3 linked regions of the Caenorhabditis elegans genome follow. The protein of the gene in region 3 interacts with the protein of the main gene of each other region in a biochemical or structural test. Each region holds a gene or a part of one and is shown on either strand. Other genes may lie near its edges.

Region 1 (5,972 bases), on a different chromosome or scaffold from region 3:
TGTTTTGCAAGTCTCGTTCGCAGCTCATTAGAGTATCTGTGTTATCACTAGTTGCTCACAGAGCACAAAACAGTCACTTGAGATGTGGAGGGGCTTAAGTCGAAATGGAATAGATACGGATCAGATTTTCCGATTGTTGCCTCAAAGTTTTTTTTCAAATTTATTTATATATAAATATTTGTACTCTCTGAGAGCAACTTTACATTCAATTGAAAGTTTCAAAAACTCGAATTATTCGAAAATACCTAAAAGTAAAACGGTAATTGGTCTCAAAGCGACCGACTTTTTGAATCTCAAAAGACCGTGTGCCCTTAAGGAGTACTGTAGTTTTCAAGATTTGCCGCACAGCTCTGAAAGGTACGGTAGTCATTCAGTTTCCACGAAATCTACTAAAGAGTTCGAATTCGTCAGTGAAAACTCAAATGTTTGAGTAGATTGGTGTATTTAGTCACTTGTCTACAGTACCCCTAACGAGAAGGAGTTGAAAAAAATGTAGAGGGGATAAAATATGGCAATTTTCGCGCCAAAACTACAGTACCCGATCTCGAAGCGAAGTTAAATTCAAACAAACTTGCGCGCCTTTAAGAAGTACTGTAGTTCCTTTAGTTTTTGCTACAAAAACCGAATGGAAAATCGTTCCTAATTTTTCAGAAAACCTTGGCTCAACCTGTGCATGTGGTGTCAGGCTGCCCCTTCACGGTTTGATCTACAAAAAATGCGGGAATTTTTCACCCAAAAATATGTGACGTCAACAGGTTCTTAACCATGCGAAATCAGTTGAGAGCTCTGCGTCTCTTCTCCCGCCTATTTTGTAGATCTACGTAGATCAAGTCGAAATGAGACACTTTGACACCACGTGTCTGTGTACAGTACCCCGAGAAGATAGGCCTAGTAGGTAGGTACGGTAATCATTCAGATCCCCGCTAGCTCTCAACAAATTCAAAAAACAAGTGTCAATTCTCTACAGGAAGTGGCACCAATCATGTTCCGGAAGCAATTAGAGCTCTCTCACACTTGTTCTGGTGTGGGGTCATCATCATTTTGTAATGAATGAATACGAACACACACACACCTTTTGAACCTATTGTTTTCCGCGTCTTTTTGTCTGTAGAAAAAAGGTGTCCAAACATGTGTGTGTGGGGGGGGGGGGGGCCCAGAGGTGTCTAATTGTCTATTGTATCCGTGTCTCGGGTACCAGCAACCATAATTACCACCACCATCGAGACCCCCCAAAGTGACGCAAAAGGAAATAATTTCGGCTCTTGACATGATGTTCAACAATTCAAAAGAAATTTTTGGTGTTTTTTCGCCAATAGTTTTTCGAGAAAAACAAATTGCCAAAAAACACGCAATTTTTTGGGAGTTAATGAGGCTTCTCCAACAAAAAAGAAGAAAAAACTGTTTTCGAGGAAATGCAACGAGTTTTTGGATTCAGAAGATAATAGATTCAGTTTTTCGGTGAAAATTTTGTAGAATTTCTCACGAATTTTTGGCTTCCCTCATAAAATGAAATGGAAGAGTTTTTGCCGAACTAGGTCATTTTGGCTCAGTAGATTTACGGCGCGTTGCGTGTCGCGTCGCGGCTCGATTTTAGTTGTAAAACTAAATGCACTTGTCCGTGTGGAGTACACGACTATCCCAGTCCGGCGGGCGATTGTCAATGGAGCGCGAAAAATTCAATGAGGAAGGCCAGAACCCCATGGCGGAAAGCCAAGAATTTTTGGATTTGGAAGACAATAAATTCAGTTTTTTAGTGGAAATTTTGTATTATTTCTGCTTTTTGGGGAAGAAAATTGTAGGAAGAATAAAAAATTAATACGGTTTTTTTTCTACAAAAATGGAGAAAAGCCCTAAAAATTCTTGAAATTGGGTAAAAATTTGAATTTTTTTTTTTTGGAATTTCTGCTTTTTTGGGGAAGAAATTGTTGGAAAAATGATTTTTAATAGGATTTTAAAGCAATTTTTTGCAAATTTCGACGATTTTTGATTCAAATTGAAGAATAAGCTCAAAAATACACAATTTTCCATATTTTTCAATAAAGCTTTCGATTTTAGGGTGTTTTTTCGCTTTTTTTAAATAATTTTTGGTGTAAATTCTTAAATTCCAAAAATATAGAGGCTCTCGAACCCTTTAAAAATTCAAAATACATAATTTTTCCCATTTCTTAGGCAATTTCTGGGCAAAATATTGAAATTGCAACTTTTAAAAGTATTTCTAATGCCTAGACTACATAATTTTTCTAATAAAATAGGGGGAATTGTCATAAAAAGGATTTTAAAGCGATTTTTCGTCGATTTTTGGGGGAAATCTTGAAATTTCAACTTTATAAGGTATTTATAACATATTCGAGGCCTAATATTCACCTTTGTTTTCAGATTTTTCAGTGAAAACTTCCAATTAAAGCCGATTTTTTGCCAATTTCGGTAATTTTTCGTTCAGAAGTATTTAACTTGTTAACTCTAAAATACAATTTTAAGTCGATTTTTGTCGATTTTCGCCAATTTTTATGTGTTTTAATTCAAATTTTTTCAATTTTCCAAGTAAAAAATCACCATAAATAGAGGCATAAACATGGGTAAAGCAGCTGCCGAGTATCCAGGACTGAAGTGTGACATTAAACCGGGAAACGATGGTGACATTGGTTCGACTTTTGGAAATGCACTTTTTAACACTGAAAATTTGATAATTATTCGGTTAGAATGGTTAAAAAAGAGCCAAATTTTTGATTTTCAACCGATTTTTTGGCAAATTTCACAATTTTTAGTCAAAATTCTTTAAAATCCAATTTTATAGGGTTAAAGATTTCATTTTTCCAGATTTTTTCATGAAAACTCCGATTTTAAAGAGATTTTTCGGTAATTTTCACAATTTTTAGTTAAAATTCTTCAAAACTCAATTTTATAGGGTTAATTATCTCATTTTTCCTTCAAAATTTCGATTTTTGAAAGCGATTTTTCGCAAATTTTCACAATTTTCAGTTAAAAATATTTTAAAATTCAACTTTTATAGTGATATCCGAGTTCAAAACCTCTCATTTTTTAGATTTTTCAATTGAAAATTCGATTTTAAAGCGATTTTTCGTAAAATTTTAAAAGGAATTTCTAGCACCTCTAAAGGCCTGAAATACATAATTTTTTAGATTTTTCCATTCACAGATCTCAAAAAAGGTCAATTTTTGGCGCCAAGTTCAAATTTCTCAGATCAATTTTGAATATTATCCAATTCTTAATCCTTTCGCACCCCTATACAGTCTATTGAGCACACACAGACGGACCAACTTGTTCAAGTACTCACGACGGATTAGCACACAAGATAACGGACCGAGATAGTATGGGATTCGGAGAGACGCAGATGGTGTTCGAACACCGTTGCGTAACATCCTTTTACGTCATTATGTCATTGCGTAAGGCCCGGGACCATCAGGTCAATTCTTAGGGGTGTTTTGAAATTAGCATGGATTTTTTTAATAGAAAATAGTGAAAACCGGAAAAAAAATTGGTTAAAAATGAGTAAATTTCATTTATAAAGTGTTAGAAATACTTTAAAATATAAAAAATGGCGAAAAATCGCTTTAAAATTGGTTGAAATTCAAAATAACACTGAAAATACTCAAATTTGTCAAAAAAAAATATTTTAGCGATTTTTAATTAATTTAAATTCCCGCGCTTTTGTCTCGATTTTGAACTCCGCCCATAAAACCGTGCCGCACTTTTGCACTTTTTAATTTCAACGTAAAGTCCAATTTTTGGGTTGTTTTTCTAGCTTTTAATGAATTTTTCGGCGATTTTTAAAACCTTTTTCTCCATTTAAAAACTGAAAAAAAACCCCCAAAATATGGATTTACGCTGAATTTGAAAAAAAAACAAAGTGCGGCACGGTTCTATGGGCGGAGTTTAGACAAAAAATGCGGGAATTTAAATAAGGTTTTTTTTTCAAATTTAATGATTTTTTTCTCTTTTTTTGGGATCAGTCTTAGCATTTAAAGTTTTTATTTAAATTATTTAAATTTAAATTTATATGTATTTTTTTAATATTTAATGTCCCTTTTTCCTGCAGAAATTTAGAAATTTAGAAGAATTTTCAAATATTTTTTTTGTGTAATAAAGTCGAAAGGCAATTGAGGTGGTCCATAAAATTTTGTGTGATAGCTGGCCACCTTCCCCTTTCGATCAAATTTATTGGAAAACTCACCATCAATCGATGGATTTCGACCGGCACCGTCTAATTCTGCTTCCATTACAGCTTCTTTTTTATCATCGGCTAACTGTTGTTCTGACGTTTCACCACTAATCATTGGATCATCGTCAGCATCCTCATCCCGACGGAACACCTTCACCTCATCGCCGAGCTCTTCGTCGGCCATCATTTTTGTGTATTTTTATATCTGGAAATTTAGAGCATTTTTTAACGATTTTAATGGGAAATTGACGGAAAAATGGAGGGAAAAGAAGCACGGAACCATTTAAAACAAGAAAAAAGGGGGACTAGGTCCGCGGAAGTTAGGCCATGGAGAGGGGAAAGACGCGGGAAATTTGAATTCGATAGGATTTTGGGGAGAAAGTGGAGGTTTAGACTTCTAAAATTGGAAAATGTTGAATTTTTATTGAATTAGAGATAAATTTTGACGACAAAATCGAAATTTTAGATGAAAAACTCAAGAAAAATCAGCAAAAACGGTGAAATTTGTTTTAATTTTAATTTAAAAAATACTTTTGTCCACCGTAACTTTTAAAGGCGCATGCCGCTTATTTTGGTGTGGGTCTCGACACGAATTTCGAACAAAATTACTTTTCTTTGCTTAAAAATGTCGAATTTGAGCTGTTTCGTTGAAAAAATAATTTGAAACGAGGAAATTTCGATGTGAAATATCTAGAAATTGATCGAAAACTTCGAAATTTGTTCAAAATTAAATTTTCAAGTATTTTTGTCTACCGTAACCTTTAAAGGCGCGTGCCATGTATTTCAATGTGGGTACCACCGCGAATAACAATATTTTTCGGCTTATTAATTTGTAATTTGAGTTTTTAAAAATAAAATCATAAATTTTAAACAAGGGAATTCCGAACAAAAAGGAGAAAATCATCAAAAATCTTTAAATTTGTTTAAAATTCGCATTTTTCGACATTTTTGTAAATATACCGTAGTCTTTAAAGGCGCATGCCATGTTTTTTGGCATGGGTGACACCACGATCAGACTTTAAATACCTTAAAATTACCTATTTTTGACGTAGAAAATTACTTTTTTGCTTATAAATCCGAAACGCGGGAATTTTAAATTAAAGAGCAGGAATCGATACGGTGAACAAAACACATCTGTCATTGGCAACAGATGGCCTAGCCGAAAACTAGGCCGCTACTCGCTCTACAAAATTCAAAAAGAATGACGGGAAAAAAAAGCGAAAAATGTTCGAATGAAGAAGTTCCTCCAATTATAAAATGCAAATAAACGTAGAACCCAGCAGGAGGTAGGAGGGAGGATAGTGGAACGAGGAAAACGAGGCGAAAAGGATCCATAAAATTCAAATAAATGACGGACCGGGGGACGTGAGAAGAAGGGGGGAAGAAGACAAGAGGCGGTTGGTGGTGGTGTATGCGCGCGCTGTCGGTAGTGCACCATGGCCCCCCGCTACACCAATTTCTCTGCGTCTCTCGCTTTCATCGCTCATCAAGGGGCCGCCCATGCTAAATGGTGTGTGAGAAGGCCCTGTGTGTGTGCGCAGGTGGCCGACAATAATAGCTGTAGAAGAGGTTAAAAGAGAGCATGGAACTTGAAGAGAGTGGAGGTTGAGTGAGAAAAAATAAAAATCAGATTGTCCTGAAAAAAACCATTTAAAAATTGATAAGAAGTGATTTTTGTGGGCATCGGTAATCGGTAACCCGGGGCGTCAATATATATTTTTTATCGAAGTGTTCATTTTCTTCGTTGTAACTCACCGGGAAAACCGTGAGAATTGGCGGAGAGATAGAGACA
Region 2 (7,779 bases), 4.5 Mb from region 3:
TAGACAGTCAAATTAAAGAAAGTAAAATGAAACGATTGTAGATTTATGAAAAAAATCAAAAACTTATAACAGCAAAAGTCTATCTAAAGGGAAAATGTCTAGAAAACTGGAATTTGAAACAGAGAAAAAGAAAACAAAAATTGATATAATTTGTATAAACTCAAAAAGGGAAATAGAATACAAAAAAAAATAATGAGAAAGAGAGAACAAGAGACGGAGACAGAGAACAGTTATCTTATAGTGTTATCATCCGAATTAGGAAGAAATGTGTGTAGACTACAATGTTGTCCCTTTTGGGAAGAATGATGATGACCAGTTGGGGAAATGGCAAATCTGAAATAAAAAAAGTAAATTATTAGGTAAACGAAAATATTGATTACAGAAAATATTTAAAAGTGTAACACTTTTCCAATTATTTCATATTTTTTTCTCACAAACTACAAGTTTATATTGAACATGGATGTCGTCGAAAAATTTTCGATTTTCGAACTGAAAAATTGAAATTCGTAAAACTGGAAAAAATTGTAAGGAAATATAGTAGTCTAGTCTATAGACTTATCAAAAAAAGTTGATTTTTATGTAGAGAAATTACCAGAGATGAAAATTTCATTTCTTCAAAAAATTCAAAAATTTGAAAACAAAAATATTACTACATTAGAAGATTTTTTTATTATTTTTATTTTTCGATGTTCAAAAATAACTCACATCATGTCCTCTAAACACTTTTCTGTTGTATCTTATTAGCTTCTTCGATAGTTCCATGTTGTGTACCCAATGTCTGATCATACAATCGTCCTTTTTGTCGAGTTGGTGTTCCTTCTTGATATTTAACTGGTTCAGGTACGAAATACTTGTTCCCAGCCCGATCAATTGCAAAATCGTAAATTGTTGGCTTTTCGAGTGCTTCGAGAATTTTAGTTTCAAGATTTGAACGAGTAATGAATTCACTTGAACGAGAAATTGCATTTTTAACTTCATCTTCTGCCTGCTTTTTGCCTGCATTTCTTTTCTCCAATTCAACTCGAATTTCTTCCAAAATTACAGATTTTGTTTCCTTCGCATCTTCGGCTTCTCGTTCTTTACGTGCCGCCCGTTTTTCTTCATTCCGCTTCTCATTTTGAGCAATTAATTCGTCTAATTCAAGTGCTTCTGCTTCTTTCATTGCTTCGATACCCTGACCATGAGATGCATTTTGAGCAAGTTCTGCACGGAATACTTCTCGAAGTGAAATAACTGCATTGTTGTATGCATGACGACGCCAGAGGAGCTCCTCGACATCTTCTGGTTTCTGCCATGGAGCATGCACAACGTGGTAGAGAACCTGAATTTTGTGAATTTATAGATAAGAGTAACAAAATTTAAAACTGTTAAAAATTTATAGAATTCTTCTAAATTTTTCAATAAAAAGTTGCACGTTTTTTTGTTGCAAGACTGAAAAAACCCATTTTTAAGGAGTTAGAAAAATACTGTAAATTTTCTAACAGTTATATTCGGTATATTGAGACATTTTCTGTCATTTTGGGAAAAAGCCCCGCTGGCGCATTTTTTTCGGCAAAAATTGGATTTTTTTATGTTCCAATTTTTGTTCTAGTGAAAAAATCAATAGAACTCACTTTCTTCGATGGAGGCAAAATTGGTGGTTTTCCCTGCTTTGGTTGCCGTCGTCCCATTTGTCTCTTCTGTACTCCGAATACTTCGTCCATTTGTGACATGGCAGATGCCAAAAGACATCGTCCCGTTGAAGAAATTGATAAACGAGAACTGTTTATCAACATTCTGAAAATATTTTTAAATGAAAAATAATTGGGAAAACTTTAAAATCTCTATAAAAATATGTTTTAGTATGAAAACTAATAACTATAATTCAAAATTACAAAAAAACAACAGAATAAAACAAGCTCTTTAATTCGGAAAATTAACGGAAACTTAAAAACTGAATTTTTAAACAATTAATATCGAATTAAAAGGAGCAACAATCGAATCGCGATAGATACCGGAGCAAAAAAGAATCTTCAAATTAATGAACCGGAAAATGGGCAACAGGAAATGGGAAAACCAACGGAAAAAATTCTAGGAATGATTGGGAAATTCAATAGGGGCGCAAAAGTGAATAACACATCAACAATTAGGATTAAAACAGGAAAATAATAATTATAAAAGCGAAAAACTAGGCACTACATTCTCATGTAATAGCTCTCTCCATTTGGATTCTGGATCGGGGTGCTCACAGATTCGCCATTGGTTTTCTGGAAAAAACTCAACTATAATCTTAATAAGTTATCAAAAACTGTTACCTTTTTTTCAACATGCCATTCGTACCACACACCAGTATTGTCAACTTTTCGATCGATTTTCAGAGAAATTCTGTCACCTTCTCCAACTCTCAATTGATCTCTAAGTGGAATAACAGCTGGGAACCAACTGACCATTCCAGGTGTATGAGTTGATGGTTCAATTGAAAGCATCACGGTTTTGTAGAGTTGAAGATCAAAGTAGCCGGCGAATCCCATCAGCTGAAATAAATTAGGTTCTAACTTATTTGATTTTTAATTTAATAAACACATATTTTATCAATAAAATTTTTCAATTCATTGTTTTATTTTCAAAGGTGGACTGTCATTTGTGCGAATTTTGCATTTAATATAAGCAAATTACCTCAAATAATCAACGAAAAAATATTTTTAAATTTTCTTAAGAATTTCTAAGTTTTTTTTTTTTTTTTTGCTGAAAAACTTACATCTGCATTTCTATCCATAACAAATTCAATAGAATCGCTTCTCTCATTGCTTGAATTCATGAAATTTGGATGTTCAAATGTGAATACTGGTTTGGTGGTTTCGGCAAGTGGAATGTATTTTGAAAGATATACAACGTAGATTTGATCCATATTGTTACGAACATGTCCTTGTCTGAAAGAAAATGTTTATTAAAATTTAAAAAAAAAGTTTTTATGCTTTTTTTTTAATTAAAAATTATTCTAAAATAAGAGTAAATTGAAGCATAACTTGTGGAGCGGATACTCCCGTCAAGAAAAGATGGCCTAGAAACCTCCGTGTACTCGGCCAGGGCCTTTATGTACACAAGAGTAGAAAACTTCAGAAATATTTATTACCACAACATGAATTTTAGCGATACTTTTTCTAATATTACGGTACCCGGTATCTACACGATAAATATTCGTTAATACGAAACTTTTTGTACCTTTGAAGAGTACTGTAATTTCAATATCCCATGATTTTTCATAGTTTTTTAAATAAAAATCAATATCAATTTATCAAAACTAAACTAAAATAATAAAATGCCAACCAAAAAAAACTATAAAAAATTAATAAAAACTCTGCAGCAACAAGTCTTAGATTACAGTATAGTTTAAAGGTGCACACGTTTTCGCATATAACAAAGATTTTTGTTTGAATTTTTTTTTTAATTTTAAAAATTTTGTCTAATCGAGACCGGGACTAGCAAAATTTGGCATCGGGGTAATAAGGCAGAATGTTTATATTTTTATAAAAAAATTGAAAAACAAACGGGTATTTTTGAATCCACATTTCGTCTTCATCCAATTCCGGTTCACCTCTACCATGCGATGGAATTGCACGACTCAAATAAGGAATACTTTGAGCTTTAATTGTTTGATGAATATGAGTACTCATTATTGGCTTCACATAGCTAGTGTACTTCTGTGGAATTGAAATTGTTGTTGGCTTCAAAAATCCAGTGACACCATCTAGACATTCAGGACTCAACTCGTTATCTCCAAAACTTCCAAGAAGTTCCGAAACAATTATGTCAGGTTGTTCGAATCCACGATCTTTCGCAATTCCCGGCAGACTTCGCATATCACTTTCAATAATCGTTACTCGTCGTTTCCATGTTCTCACATTCATATATTTCAGAGTGACGATTGCATTTGGATTCTTTTCAACAATATAAAGCTTCACTTTGAGACTTTCTTGGCCTTGTCGGAATGTGTTGTTGTATTCTCTTTCAGATTTCAGAATTTTCGTTCCCTGAAAAAAATTGAAATTTATAATATTTAAAACTATGGAGACGCATAAAAATGCCCGTTTTGATATTCATTTAGACCGAAAAACTGTAAATTGAAAAATGTTGCAGTTCGCTTCAGACAATTGGCAAAATTAACTGCAAAATGTTTGAATTTCCGGCTTGTCGCCAACTTCCAAACGAGACCCATGGTCAGGGGGTGGAGTGTTTTCAATTGGCCACAAAATATGTTTTCATGTCGAATTAAAAGGGACTTTTTCTACTTAATAGCCAAAAACTCACAATAGGACCACGTCCTCCTCCCAACAAGTAAATGACAACAGTTTTTCTTCCGTCAGCTCCAAGATCTTTTAATGCTCCAACTACAGCTTCTCCATACACGTCGTATTTAATTTGATCCTGCTCGAATGTATTATAAACTCCTGAATCCAAATTTTCAGACAATGGTTGAAGAGGTGCTTGCAAAACATCTTTGTATTCGATAACATTAAGATAATGAGTGGAGTCATTCGATCCTTCTCCAACATCAGGACGACTTCGGTAATTAACATTTCGAACTGCATGACGAAGAGCTTGAGAATACTCGGATTTGATAGAAGTATTGTACTTGAATGTATCCGTTGTGGCACGAAGAACGATCCGAAGTGCATCAGTTGTCCATAGATGTTTTAATAAATTTATGTGGGCACTGAAAAATTAGTATTTATTTGAAAATGTAATCTTGAAATTTACCTTGGAATTGATGCTTCTCCATTTCTTCCAGAAATAAAAAGACCCGATTCGATAACAAAAGCTGCTAGGGGCTCGGCCTTCCAACGGTCCACAAGTTTAAGCTCAGTAAGCTCATCGGGAAGTTCCGAAGAGATCGTCAAAGCCACTTGGAAATAAACACCACTGAAATTACCACAATTCTTCCGGAAATCGGCCCAAATTGTCCATAAATCAACATGTTCTATTGTGAAAGCGTCATAATCTTTGCACTTTTCAATTGCAGACGGAAGTTGAACCCAAACACTGAAAATAAATATAAACTTTGCTTTTTTAAAAAATATTTTACTGAAAAAAAGGAGCTATTTCATATTGCATTTTACTTACGTAAAACGCGAATTTCTAGTCCAAATCCATTTTTTCAAAATGGCAGCAGTACGAGGCGACGAGATGCGTGTGAGCTCGATTGCCATCGTTTGAAGACCCAAATAACAAATGTAGCTGAGCTCTTTCAGAAGATGTTCCTCGGAAAGCGAGGCAAAGGCTGGATCAGAAGAGTCACAGTCGATCCATGGAGAAATCTTGAAAAAAATGACAATTTCAGGTTTTAATTTAAGAATAAAGGGCTTGTTCTTCGAAAAAGTAATTAAAATTAAAAAAAAAACCCCCCATACTTTTCCTACAACATAGCTTTCCCAGAGATCATTTCTCAGCTGAACATCGGGCAAATCAATAACAGGTGGATGATTCTCCGCGCTGAAAATTAGTAGTCTAGTTGAAGTTGGGTAAGATAGTCGATGTGAACCTTCCATTAGGCGTCCAGAATGCGCGAACGACCCCTCCAATCGGGTAGACGACAAAGTTATACTTGAACTCTCCCAGTCGTGTACAGAAAGTAGCAACATGACGGTCTAGATTCTCGGCAACGTCCAAGGTTGTGGCCATCCATCCGATGTGTATTCTAGAGTTCGCTGCCTCAACAGAGCTTATACTTCTGCTGGGAGAATTACTTTTGGGCGAAGAACCAGAAGACATCTGTTCCTCATGCTGCTCCGCGACCTGTTGTGGAAACAGATTATCGGCATACGTTCTGTTACTCATTCGTTTAACCTGAAATTTGACGATCAACAAACTCGCAGTTTTATCATCGGCTTTCTGTTTATTTCTGATAAAAATATACTAGAAGTCAAATGAACTTGGGGTGTGAAAAAAATAATGTTTTTGCTTTATTTTTGTTGCCTTTTAGGGCATTTGGGTTGGTAGTTGAATTCGAAGAAGGGAGAGTGAGAGATGGAAAACAACGTATTGGGAGTCACCAAATAGTGGTCTGACGGAAACAGCACTACCGCAACAATACAATAAACTATACATTAAATTTATCTCTACCAAAAAACATTGAAAAAAAGAAAAACGAAGTGTCGGCGTTATAACAAAAAAAATAAAACTAATTTCCGTGTTGCTTGGCGAGTTCTTCGGCCTTCTTGAACACATCATCGATTCCTCCTTGCATGTAGAAAGCAACTTCTGGAAGGTGGTCGAGTTCTCCTGAAAATTGATTTAATTTTAATGTTTTCAACGTTTAAATATTCTTACCCTTGAGAATCATGGTGAAACCGCGGATTGTCTCTTCGAGTGATACGAACTTTCCTTGATGTCCAGTGAACACCTCAGCGACTTGGAATGGTTGGGAAAGGAAACGTTGGATCTTGCGGGCACGTGAAACGGTAAGCTTGTCTTCCTCGGACAACTCATCCATACCAAGAATAGCAATAATATCTTGGAGGGACTTGTAATCTTGGAGGATCTTTTGAACTCCACGAGCAATGTCGTAGTGGTTCTGTCCGACAACGTTGGGGTCCATGATACGGGAGGTGGAGTCAAGTGGATCGACAGCTGGGTAGATAGCCAATTCGGCAATACCACGGGACAAGACAGTGGTGGCGTCCAAGTGAGCGAATGTGGTAGCTGGAGCTGGATCAGTCAAATCGTCAGCAGGTACGTAAATAGCCTGGACGGATGTGATGGATCCCTTCTTGGTGGTGGTAATTCTCTCTTGCATACTTCCCATGTCAGTGGCAAGGGTTGGTTGGTATCCGACAGCGGATGGGATACGTCCGAGAAGAGCGGACACTTCAGATCCAGCCTGGGTGAAACGGAAAATGTTGTCAATGAAAAGAAGCACATCTTGTCCTTCCTGGTCACGGAAGTACTCGGCGACAGTGAGACCGGTGAGGCACACACGAGCACGGGCACCTGGTGGCTCGTTCATTTGTCCGTATACGAGAGATACCTTGGAGTTCTTTCCCTATAAATTGTTTATTTAAATACCATGAACCATTTTTTCCTACTAACCTTGAGATCAATGACTCCTCCTTCAATCATTTCGTGGTAGAGATCGTTTCCTTCACGGGTACGCTCTCCGACTCCAGCGAACACAGAGTAACCTCCGTGAGCCTTGGCGACGTTGTTAATGAGCTCCATGATAAGCACAGTCTTTCCGACTCCAGCTCCTCCGAAAAGTCCAATCTTTCCTCCCTTGGCGTATGGGGCAAGAAGATCGACGACCTTGATTCCGGTAACAAGAATCTCCTGCTCGACGGACATTTCGACGAATTCTGGAGCTTCAGCGTGGATAGCAGCGAAGTTCTTGGATGCAATTGGACCTCTCTCGTCAATTGGCTCTCCAATGACGTTCATGATACGGCCAAGAGTTTCTGGTCCGACTGGGATCTTAATCGGATCTCCGGTGTCAGCAACTGGCTGTCCACGGACAAGTCCTTCAGTTCCGTCCATAGCAATACATCTGACGACATTGTCTCCGAGATGTTGAGAGACCTCAAGAATGAGTCTTGGGGAACGTCCGACTACCTCGAGACCGTTGAGGATTGGTGGAAGGTTCTCATCGAACTGGACGTCGACGACGGCTCCGATGACAGCGACAATGCGTCCGGAAGCGTTAGCAGCTGTAGCCTTGGCAGAGACCTTAAAACCAGAATTGAATTGAATTTATCTGACTAAAAAAAATACAAACCTTGGTGGCAGCGGCAGCTTGCTGGGTGGCAACAC
Region 3 (7,744 bases):
TGTATTCTGAAATTCTAATAGTTTTGTGTTTTTTAACCGTCAATTTCTGGAAATATAGTGTTTTAATAAGTATTTTACGCAGAAATTCTCCGAAATTTACGTTCGGGTTTCGTAAACTACCAAACTCGGTGAGCATAGCTAGATATTTTACCTATAGACTTCTGAGAGTTAAATAATTGATTTTTCTACTTAGTTCTTAGATTTCCATTGAAGAATATCTCAAAAACTACCACGCAGCTTTTATTTTCTCTCGATTAAATTCTTACATTTCTCTCTCATATCTACCTTTTCTGTTATAACATTGTACTATAATAAACCTAACCTGAAAGACCTGACCAATGCAATTTTTACGAATAACCTCCTAAACTAAAACTAATTTCTAAAATTTATGTATATTTCTTCAAATTACCTCACCATTTTACTTTCCCGTATCTTATAGGTCCGTTTGGACATCAGAATCCGGAAAAAACACTGAAATTTGAAATTTTATTTCTAAAACTCCATTATTTCTTCTCCATTTTACATGGTGAACAGAAAACCGTTCGACTAAATTAAAAAAAAAAGTTCATTTGGATCATATCCCTTTCCGTTCCAGAGTACTGTAGAATTTCACTTTATTTCGAATCAGCTGTCTTCGCTCTAATGAGAATTTTTTGAGTTTTCAATCAATATTATAATCGTCGATCGCGTTTTGAATGGTAGGCTCGAGTGCATATTCCAGAATTTCCAATTCCTTGTAGTTTTCATTTTGATTAAACTTAAACATTTCATATTTTCCCTGTTGATATTACAAAAGTTGAATTTTCTGCAAGCTGGTAAAGTCGACTGAATAAATATTTCAGTACCATAATATAATAAAATTGTCATTTCTGCCTGTATAGTTGTAGTAGACCCTAATCCATCATCTAGATTCTCGATCTCGGATAGGTATTTAGAAATTTTCAGAAATACGTCCTAATATTCAGTGTTGAGCTTCATCTAAGGTCATTCAAACACCTTCTTTTTTGATTGAGAAATCATCAAAGATTGCATTAAAATTCCTCATATATGTATTAAAATTGCTTACATTTAACCTTCCAGTAGTATTTGCTTACATGAAAAGTATTTCAACTTGACTTTCATAGGCCACTACAAAAAATTTAGCAACAGAGGAACACTTTGATCTAAAAAACCGATTTTAAATTTTGACTTGAATTTTTCACTGCTTTTCGGTGTCCGGCTGACCCGTGAAATTGCTCAAATGCTAATTTTGCAAACTTTTGGTGGTTTAAGTGGTAGGAAAACACAATGGAAGCTTTTTTGTAAGAACGCTGAAAATTTTCACATAAAATCGAGAATAATTTTAGATTTTTTTTCTTAAAAAATGAGCTGGATAAAACTTCTCTACAGAAAATTTTCAATAAAGTATTTAGCTGAACAGTAGTCTGAAATACTTTCAGATCGATATTTTTTCTAGTTCAAAAAGCTACTCTGCTGCTATGTCTTTTGTAAGTTACCGGTACAGTAATCAATGTTTCCTTCTAACTAGATACTATGTTTATTCATATCATTTTTGGTTTTCAGTTTAGGACCCTGTTGGAATTCTGCTTCCAACGAACATGACCGATTGTAGATTTTTCTATTCTAGAAATATTCGTATTCATTCACATATAATATACTCAACACGTCTAGCTATTCCCACACTTTATGTTTAAGAACAGTTCAATCATGCGCATTATCGTAAGAATCATGAATTACTGTATATTCGGATCCTTAATTGCACCTTCGATACCGAAAGATAAGGAAACGAGAGCGTAGAGAAACGGACGGAACGCCCAGCGCTGAGCAGTAGAGGGGCGCATAGAGTGTGAAACGGAGGCCCCGCCCCATCTCGGCCACACTATTACAATCTTGAGGACAGCAGCACGGCGTCGTCGTCCGGAATCTCAGTCTTCATCGTCGTCAACTTCAGAAGTCTATTGGGATGACTGAGAACTACTGCCAGTCTACCACCCTCCGCCACCCTGTCGCTCCGCCTCTCTTGGTGATATCGACAGTCGGACGAGGAGGGCTATTGCCCCGCCTCTCGCACTTTTTGAACTGCCGCTCTTCCGTCCTCCTCAGTTTTTTTGCTTCTCCGGTGGTATTTGATAATTTCCTTTTAGAACATTACACTTTCGATTATTCTCTATCTATTCAAGCCACTGCCGGCTCATGAGAGTTCAATGCGAGCTCACAAACTGAACCATTAAGTGCTCAATCGTGGTTATCGATTTTTCAGAGCTTCAAGTCTGGCTCTTACTCTGGCATTACACGAAGTGATAATATACAGTATTCAACTACTAAATACTATTGCTCTACGATTTTCTATGTATTTTGCTCCTAGTAGCTCAAATTCATTATTAAATTTAACTTTTATCTTTGCAACCTCATCATTCATCTATCTGTTTCGCTCTCGTTCTCTCATCTTTCAAACTTTGTTAATAATGTTATTTTCTTCAATATCACACCAAAAATTATAATCAAAACTTTCATCTCGATCCATTAGATGCTTGTAAACGGAGCCTGTCCAAATGGCATATTCCTTCGTGTGCGTGCGTGTCGCGTGCGGTTAATGTTCTACCGTATCTCGCGAAACGCGGTTTTCGTTGCGAGACACCCACAGCATGGGGCACCCGCTGTCGGCGTTCTCTCCCGATACACACTACTTCGTGGGTGGCTGACTCGTGCTGTCTGTCGTCTCTCCCACTGACCATGTTATTTTGACGAACGGTGTTCTGCGCTTCTTCACGATCATGAACTTTTGAACGTGTCACGTGGAAAATGTTTTGCAACTTTTTAAGTCAAAATACAGTTCAGAATCGGGTCAGTAGTACCATGTGAATCGACGGGATCATCTGAGAAAGAGAAGTTAGCCTCATAAGGTTGGCTTAGCAAATATCGATCGAGCTAGATATACCTGTAAGTATCTAGAGCATTCATGTTTTTAATGGTCCCAAACACCTTTAATGCTTAAAAATACCCGAATTTCACAATATAGATGCCCGCCTTCTTCATTATGCATAGTATTTTTTAAAAATATCTCTCAAGACTGCATAACAACTTTTTTTTGTTAATCCGTATATTACTATAGTGTTTCTAATTAAAATTTGTTTTCGAAGTTTTGCAAAATTGGCTATGAATCCAATTTTAAGCTCTAAATTTATGATAGCTACAGTAACCCATTCATTGGAATTTGATGTTATTAATTCAATTTTAGCATTTAAACGCTCCTTCTCTATTATTACACGCTTAAACAACTTATACAATGGTGCAGGTAAACTTTAAAAAGTGCAACCATCCTCCGTTCATTCTATTGATTTTCCATCTCCTTCTCTCTCACTGTCTGTCTCTCTTCAATTCGCCTCCTCTTTTCATAAGTGCTCTCGCTCTCTAACCACCCTCCACTCATTACTTCACCGATGTTCTTCTCACTCTTCCTCCTCCCTCCTCCGTTCACCGACAAAAATCCATATATCCATTTCATTTTTTTCAGAAACAAACAGCTATATCTGGTGATTTTGCCAAACTAACCCAAATAAGCGGGAACTCTGATGAAGTAGTGGTTGACGTGGGAATTCAAAAACCGACGGACGCAACCAATTCAGGTGTTCCGAGAAGTAGAAAGAGTTCACTTGGTTCGAATTTTGTCAAATATATACATTTTTCTACTAATTGATGGATGAACCACCATCAAAAAAATCTCGCGCTGATAGCGGTAAGTTGCTAGGAAAGTTAAGATGCTACGGTATGATCCTTTAAACTTTTCAGACTATGATTCTGGGTTAGATGCGCTAAGTGCTCTCGAAAGTCTCGAAGCATTCCCAACTTCTAGTAAAGATACAGATGTAAGTTTTTTTGTTTGAATTAACACTCTGTTTTATAAAAATTGTTGTTCAGGTAGACAATAATCCAAGCACATCAGCTGGAGGATCCGGTGGTCCTTCTGGCTCGACACCTCATCCACAAGGCACTCCACAACCAGCACCATCAAACAATGGCGGGTTCAATCTACAACCAGGACAGTCGCAACCTCAGCAGCCGCCACAGAATATGGGAGGAGGTGTCAATGGATCAGTGCTTCAAGAACTTCTAATGAATCCATCACAAACGTCGAACAATTCACCTCGGCCGCAGGCATATCCGCCTGGACAGCAAAATGCATTTAATAGGAGTCCAATGATGCCAAATGGTACACCGAATATGATGTCACCTCCATCTATGGGTCGAGTGCCGGGGCCCAGTCCTGGAGGTCCACAACCACCAGGCCCAGGCCAACCACAAATGCGACCAGGCCAACCAGGAATGTTCCAAGGAGATCAGCAACAGCAAATGATGATGGGTGCACAAGGACAACAATTCCCAGGAATGATGCATCGATATCCGTACGCACAAGGTGGTCCTCCACCAGGAGCCCAGGGAATGCCTCAAGGATATCCAGGAGTTAGTCGGGGCGGACCAACTCCTGGACAACCCATGGGACGTGGTGCTATGATGAATGGAGCAATGCCAAGAAGTGGACCAATGCCGACACAAGGAAGACCTGGAATACCTCCAAACCAACAAGCAATGATGCAGCCAATGATGACTGATCGGCAGTTTATGCAACACGGACAATATGGTCAGCAGCGACCAGAATTTATGCAACAATATGGTCGTCCCGGTGGATATCCAATGATGCATCAAGGGGTAAGTAGAAACTATTTCCTGATTTCTATTTCATTTTGGTTTGATCTTTAAAAAATGCGGGAATTTTTTTTGTTTTTAACCTAGAAAATTGGTAAGATCAGCATGATCTTAACTGTGCGATTCTGACAATTTTTGAAGATCAAACAAAAATGGAACACTTATTAGCTTGACGTGAATTTGGCCAAATCAAAATCGATGTGTAATTGAAACTTAAGTTTCCAATAATTCCCTAATCTTCCACAAATATTGGTTGGAAGTTGCTTGGAATCATAACAATAATCTTCTACATTTCAGATGATGATGGACAGTAATGGTCAACCGATTCGAGGCCCGAATCAAATGATGATGATGAGCAATGGGCATCCAGGAATGTCACACGGTCCTCCAAATGGTCAACCTGGACCACAAGCTGCTGCAGCACAACACGCTGCTCAACAGCAAGCTGCTGCACAAGCTCAAGCTCAGGCGGCTGCACAACAACAACAGCAGCAACAACGAGAGCAAGAAGCTGCGGCGGCAGCTCAACGAAATGGTGCTGGAAGGGCGACAACTCCTGGATCAAGCATGCTTGCAACGCATCAAGATCCCGAGAAGCGGAAGCTTATTCAGCAACAACTTGTTCTATTACTTCATGCACACAAATGTTCTCAACGTGAGAAGGTATGTTATACAGTATGTTCTGGTTTCCTTCATACATCATCAGCTTTTACAGGAAAATCGTGATTTCGCTGCGAAGAATCAACCACCTCCACATGCTGCCTGTACATTACCCCATTGCTCAACGATGAAAGAAGTATTGACACACATGACAAGCTGCAATGTTGGTCGTTTATGTCATTGTAAGTATATTACCCGTCGTGTCGCTTCTTTTTCTCTATCTGGAAAGAGTTTCGAACATTTTCGCAAGAAGAAGCGCCTATTCCCACCCAAAATTTCGCTTCACTCTAGCCACTGTTTGAAATCTCTTTCAGCCGATACCACACAAACTACAAAAAAATGTTCAGTCGCTCATTGTGCATCGTCTCGCCAAATAATAGCTCACTGGAAAAACTGCTCAAGGGAAGATTGTCCTGTCTGCAAACCACTCAAAAGGATACAAGATACTCCATTACAATTTTCATGTACGTTCTATCCTACTCAAGAACATTTTTTAAATATTTGATTATTTTCAGTGCCCGATCTTGCAAATCTAATAGGAGTCAACGGGAATTCGAACGGAAGCGCAGAAGGTGATGGACTTCATCAGTTTGGATCGCCAGCGATGCGAACTGGAAATATTACAAATTCTCTATTCGAAGGATTCAATGGCAATCCATTCCAAAACGGACCAAATCGTGGAGGACCGAGACCACCTGGTGGAAATGGAGAAATTCCAAACTTGCCACCACCAGATATGCCAGATTGTACGAAAGAATGGCATCATCAAGTCACAAAAGATCTCAGAAATCACCTTGTCGGAAAATTGGTTAAAGCGATTTTCCCGGAACCGAATCAGGAAGCGATGAATGATAATCGGTTAAAAGATTTGATAGCCTATGCCAGAAAAGTCGAAAAAGAGATGTTTGAATCTGCAAATGACAGAGAAGAGTATTATCATTTGTTGGCTGAGAAAATTTACAAGATACAAAAAGAGCTTCAAGAGAAAAAGAATTCAAGACTCAATCAAGGAGCTGCTGCACATGATCGTAAGTTTTTTTTTTTTAAAATTTCACCCTTTAACCAATTTTCATTTCAGAATACGCAATTCCACCGTCGAACGAGCTCGCTCAGATGCTTGGTGTGGAAGGTGGACGTAGTGATGTTCATTCTGAAGGAAGTAGTATGGCAGTTGCACCAAGTCAACAAAATCAACCATGGGGAGGTGCTCCGAATTCCAACATGCATCAGCAGATTCCTCCGAATGGACAAGTTCCACAGGTCAATAATTCTTCGACATTCCCGTCAAGTGGTAACAGCACTCCAAACATCGGAGCTTCATCTACTGTCAGTGCTATGCTGCAACCGAAAACTGAACCCATGGACGATCAGAATACAGATTCGTTAAGTTCAAGACCACCAACGGCTATTGGATTCGGTGGCTCGAGCTCATCAACGCCAGCTCCAATTATGAACGGAATTGTTAAGAAGGAAGAAGATCCTGAAGAGTCTTCAAATCAAGCTCCTCCATCAGTTAAGGATACTAAGGATGGTGTAGCTGAATCGAAACCTAAAGAGCAACAAGCAAAGCGAGAACCTACCCCGCCACCAACTGAAGATACAGTGTTCAGTCAAGAGGATCTTATAAAATTCTTGCTTCCTGTATGGGAGAAGCTAGATAAATCCGAAGACGCTGCACCATTCCGAGTTCCAGTCGATGCAAAACTTTTAAATATTCCCGATTATCACGAGATCATCAAGCGCCCAATGGATTTGGAAACCGTTCACAAGAAATTGTATGCGGGTCAGTATCAAAACGCTGGTCAATTCTGTGATGACATTTGGCTGATGCTTGACAATGCTTGGCTGTATAACAGAAAGAACAGTAAAGTATACAAATACGGTCTTAAGCTGTCGGAAATGTTTGTGAGTGAAATGGATCCAGTGATGAAGAGTATGGGATACTGTTGTGCCAAGAAACTTGCATTCACACCTCTTTCATTGTTCTGTTACGGTGCAGCAATGTGCACGATAGCCAGAGAACAGCAATACTGGGTATTCGAACAAAGTTCTACGCAGTACAATGTGACAGTTACGGAGAGATATACTTATTGTCAGAAATGTTTCGATGCTCTTCCTCCTGAAGGAATATCACTTTCCGAAAATCCCAACGATCGAAACAACATGGCACCGAAAACATCGTTTACGGAACAGAAGAACAGTGTTATTGATTATGAGCCTTTCGAGAGATGTAAATATTGTATGAGGAAATGGCATCGGATATGTGCACTTCATGATAAGAAAGTTTATCCAGAAGGATTTATATGCGAATGTTGCCGGACTGCTAAGAAATATCAAAAGCCAGATAACAAGTATCTTGCTAGCAAATTGCCACATAATA

The links. The genes of interacting proteins can lie anywhere in the genome.
Region 1: the proteins of cbp-1 (region 3) and pop-1 form a complex in vitro, tested with the Caenorhabditis elegans proteins (one study listed by BioGRID).
Region 2: the proteins of cbp-1 (region 3) and prmt-5 form a complex in vitro, tested with the Caenorhabditis elegans proteins (one study listed by BioGRID).

What each region holds. Positions count from the first base shown.
Region 1 is NC_003279.8:2,825,927-2,831,898, forward strand, and holds the start of pop-1 (Protein pop-1), read right to left. Parts: upstream 4,386-5,972; 5' UTR 4,368-4,385; coding exon 4,193-4,367; intron 2,673-4,192; coding exon 2,554-2,672; intron 1,148-2,553; exon of another isoform or gene 957-1,147; intron 1-956. UniProt on the Caenorhabditis elegans protein: Transcription factor. Part of the Wnt signaling asymmetry pathway. Binds to the consensus sequence, 5'-(C/T)TTTG(A/T)(A/T)(G/C)-3'.
Region 2 is NC_003281.10:5,228,614-5,236,392, reverse strand, and holds prmt-5 (Protein arginine N-methyltransferase 5), read right to left. Parts: upstream 5,839-7,779; 5' UTR 5,815-5,838; coding exon 5,519-5,814; intron 5,470-5,518; coding exon 5,388-5,469; intron 5,295-5,387; coding exon 5,101-5,294; intron 5,020-5,100; coding exon 4,738-5,019; intron 4,694-4,737; coding exon 4,288-4,693; intron 4,011-4,287; coding exon 3,529-4,010; intron 2,910-3,528; coding exon 2,738-2,909; intron 2,514-2,737; coding exon 2,295-2,513; intron 2,247-2,294; coding exon 2,175-2,246; 3' UTR 1,886-2,174; downstream 1-1,885. Other genes in the region: mrps-26 (Small ribosomal subunit protein mS26), read right to left, coding at 716-1,321, 1,614-1,775; atp-2 (ATP synthase subunit beta, mitochondrial), read right to left, coding at 6,158-6,258, 6,307-7,018, 7,066-7,695, 7,745-7,779. UniProt on the Caenorhabditis elegans protein: Catalyzes the symmetrical dimethylation of arginine residues in targets such as small nuclear ribonucleoproteins, histone H2A/H4 and cbp-1.
Region 3 is NC_003281.10:9,763,002-9,770,745, forward strand, and holds the start of cbp-1 (Protein cbp-1), read left to right. Parts: upstream 1-3,508; 5' UTR 3,509-3,696; coding exon 3,697-3,736; intron 3,737-3,789; coding exon 3,790-3,866; intron 3,867-3,918; coding exon 3,919-4,707; intron 4,708-5,001; coding exon 5,002-5,367; intron 5,368-5,419; coding exon 5,420-5,546; intron 5,547-5,678; coding exon 5,679-5,828; intron 5,829-5,879; coding exon 5,880-6,392; intron 6,393-6,442; coding exon 6,443-7,744. UniProt on the Caenorhabditis elegans protein: Acetyltransferase enzyme. Acetylates histones, giving a specific tag for transcriptional activation. May prevent DNA damage-induced apoptosis by inhibiting cep-1-dependent transcription activation of the programmed cell death activator egl-1.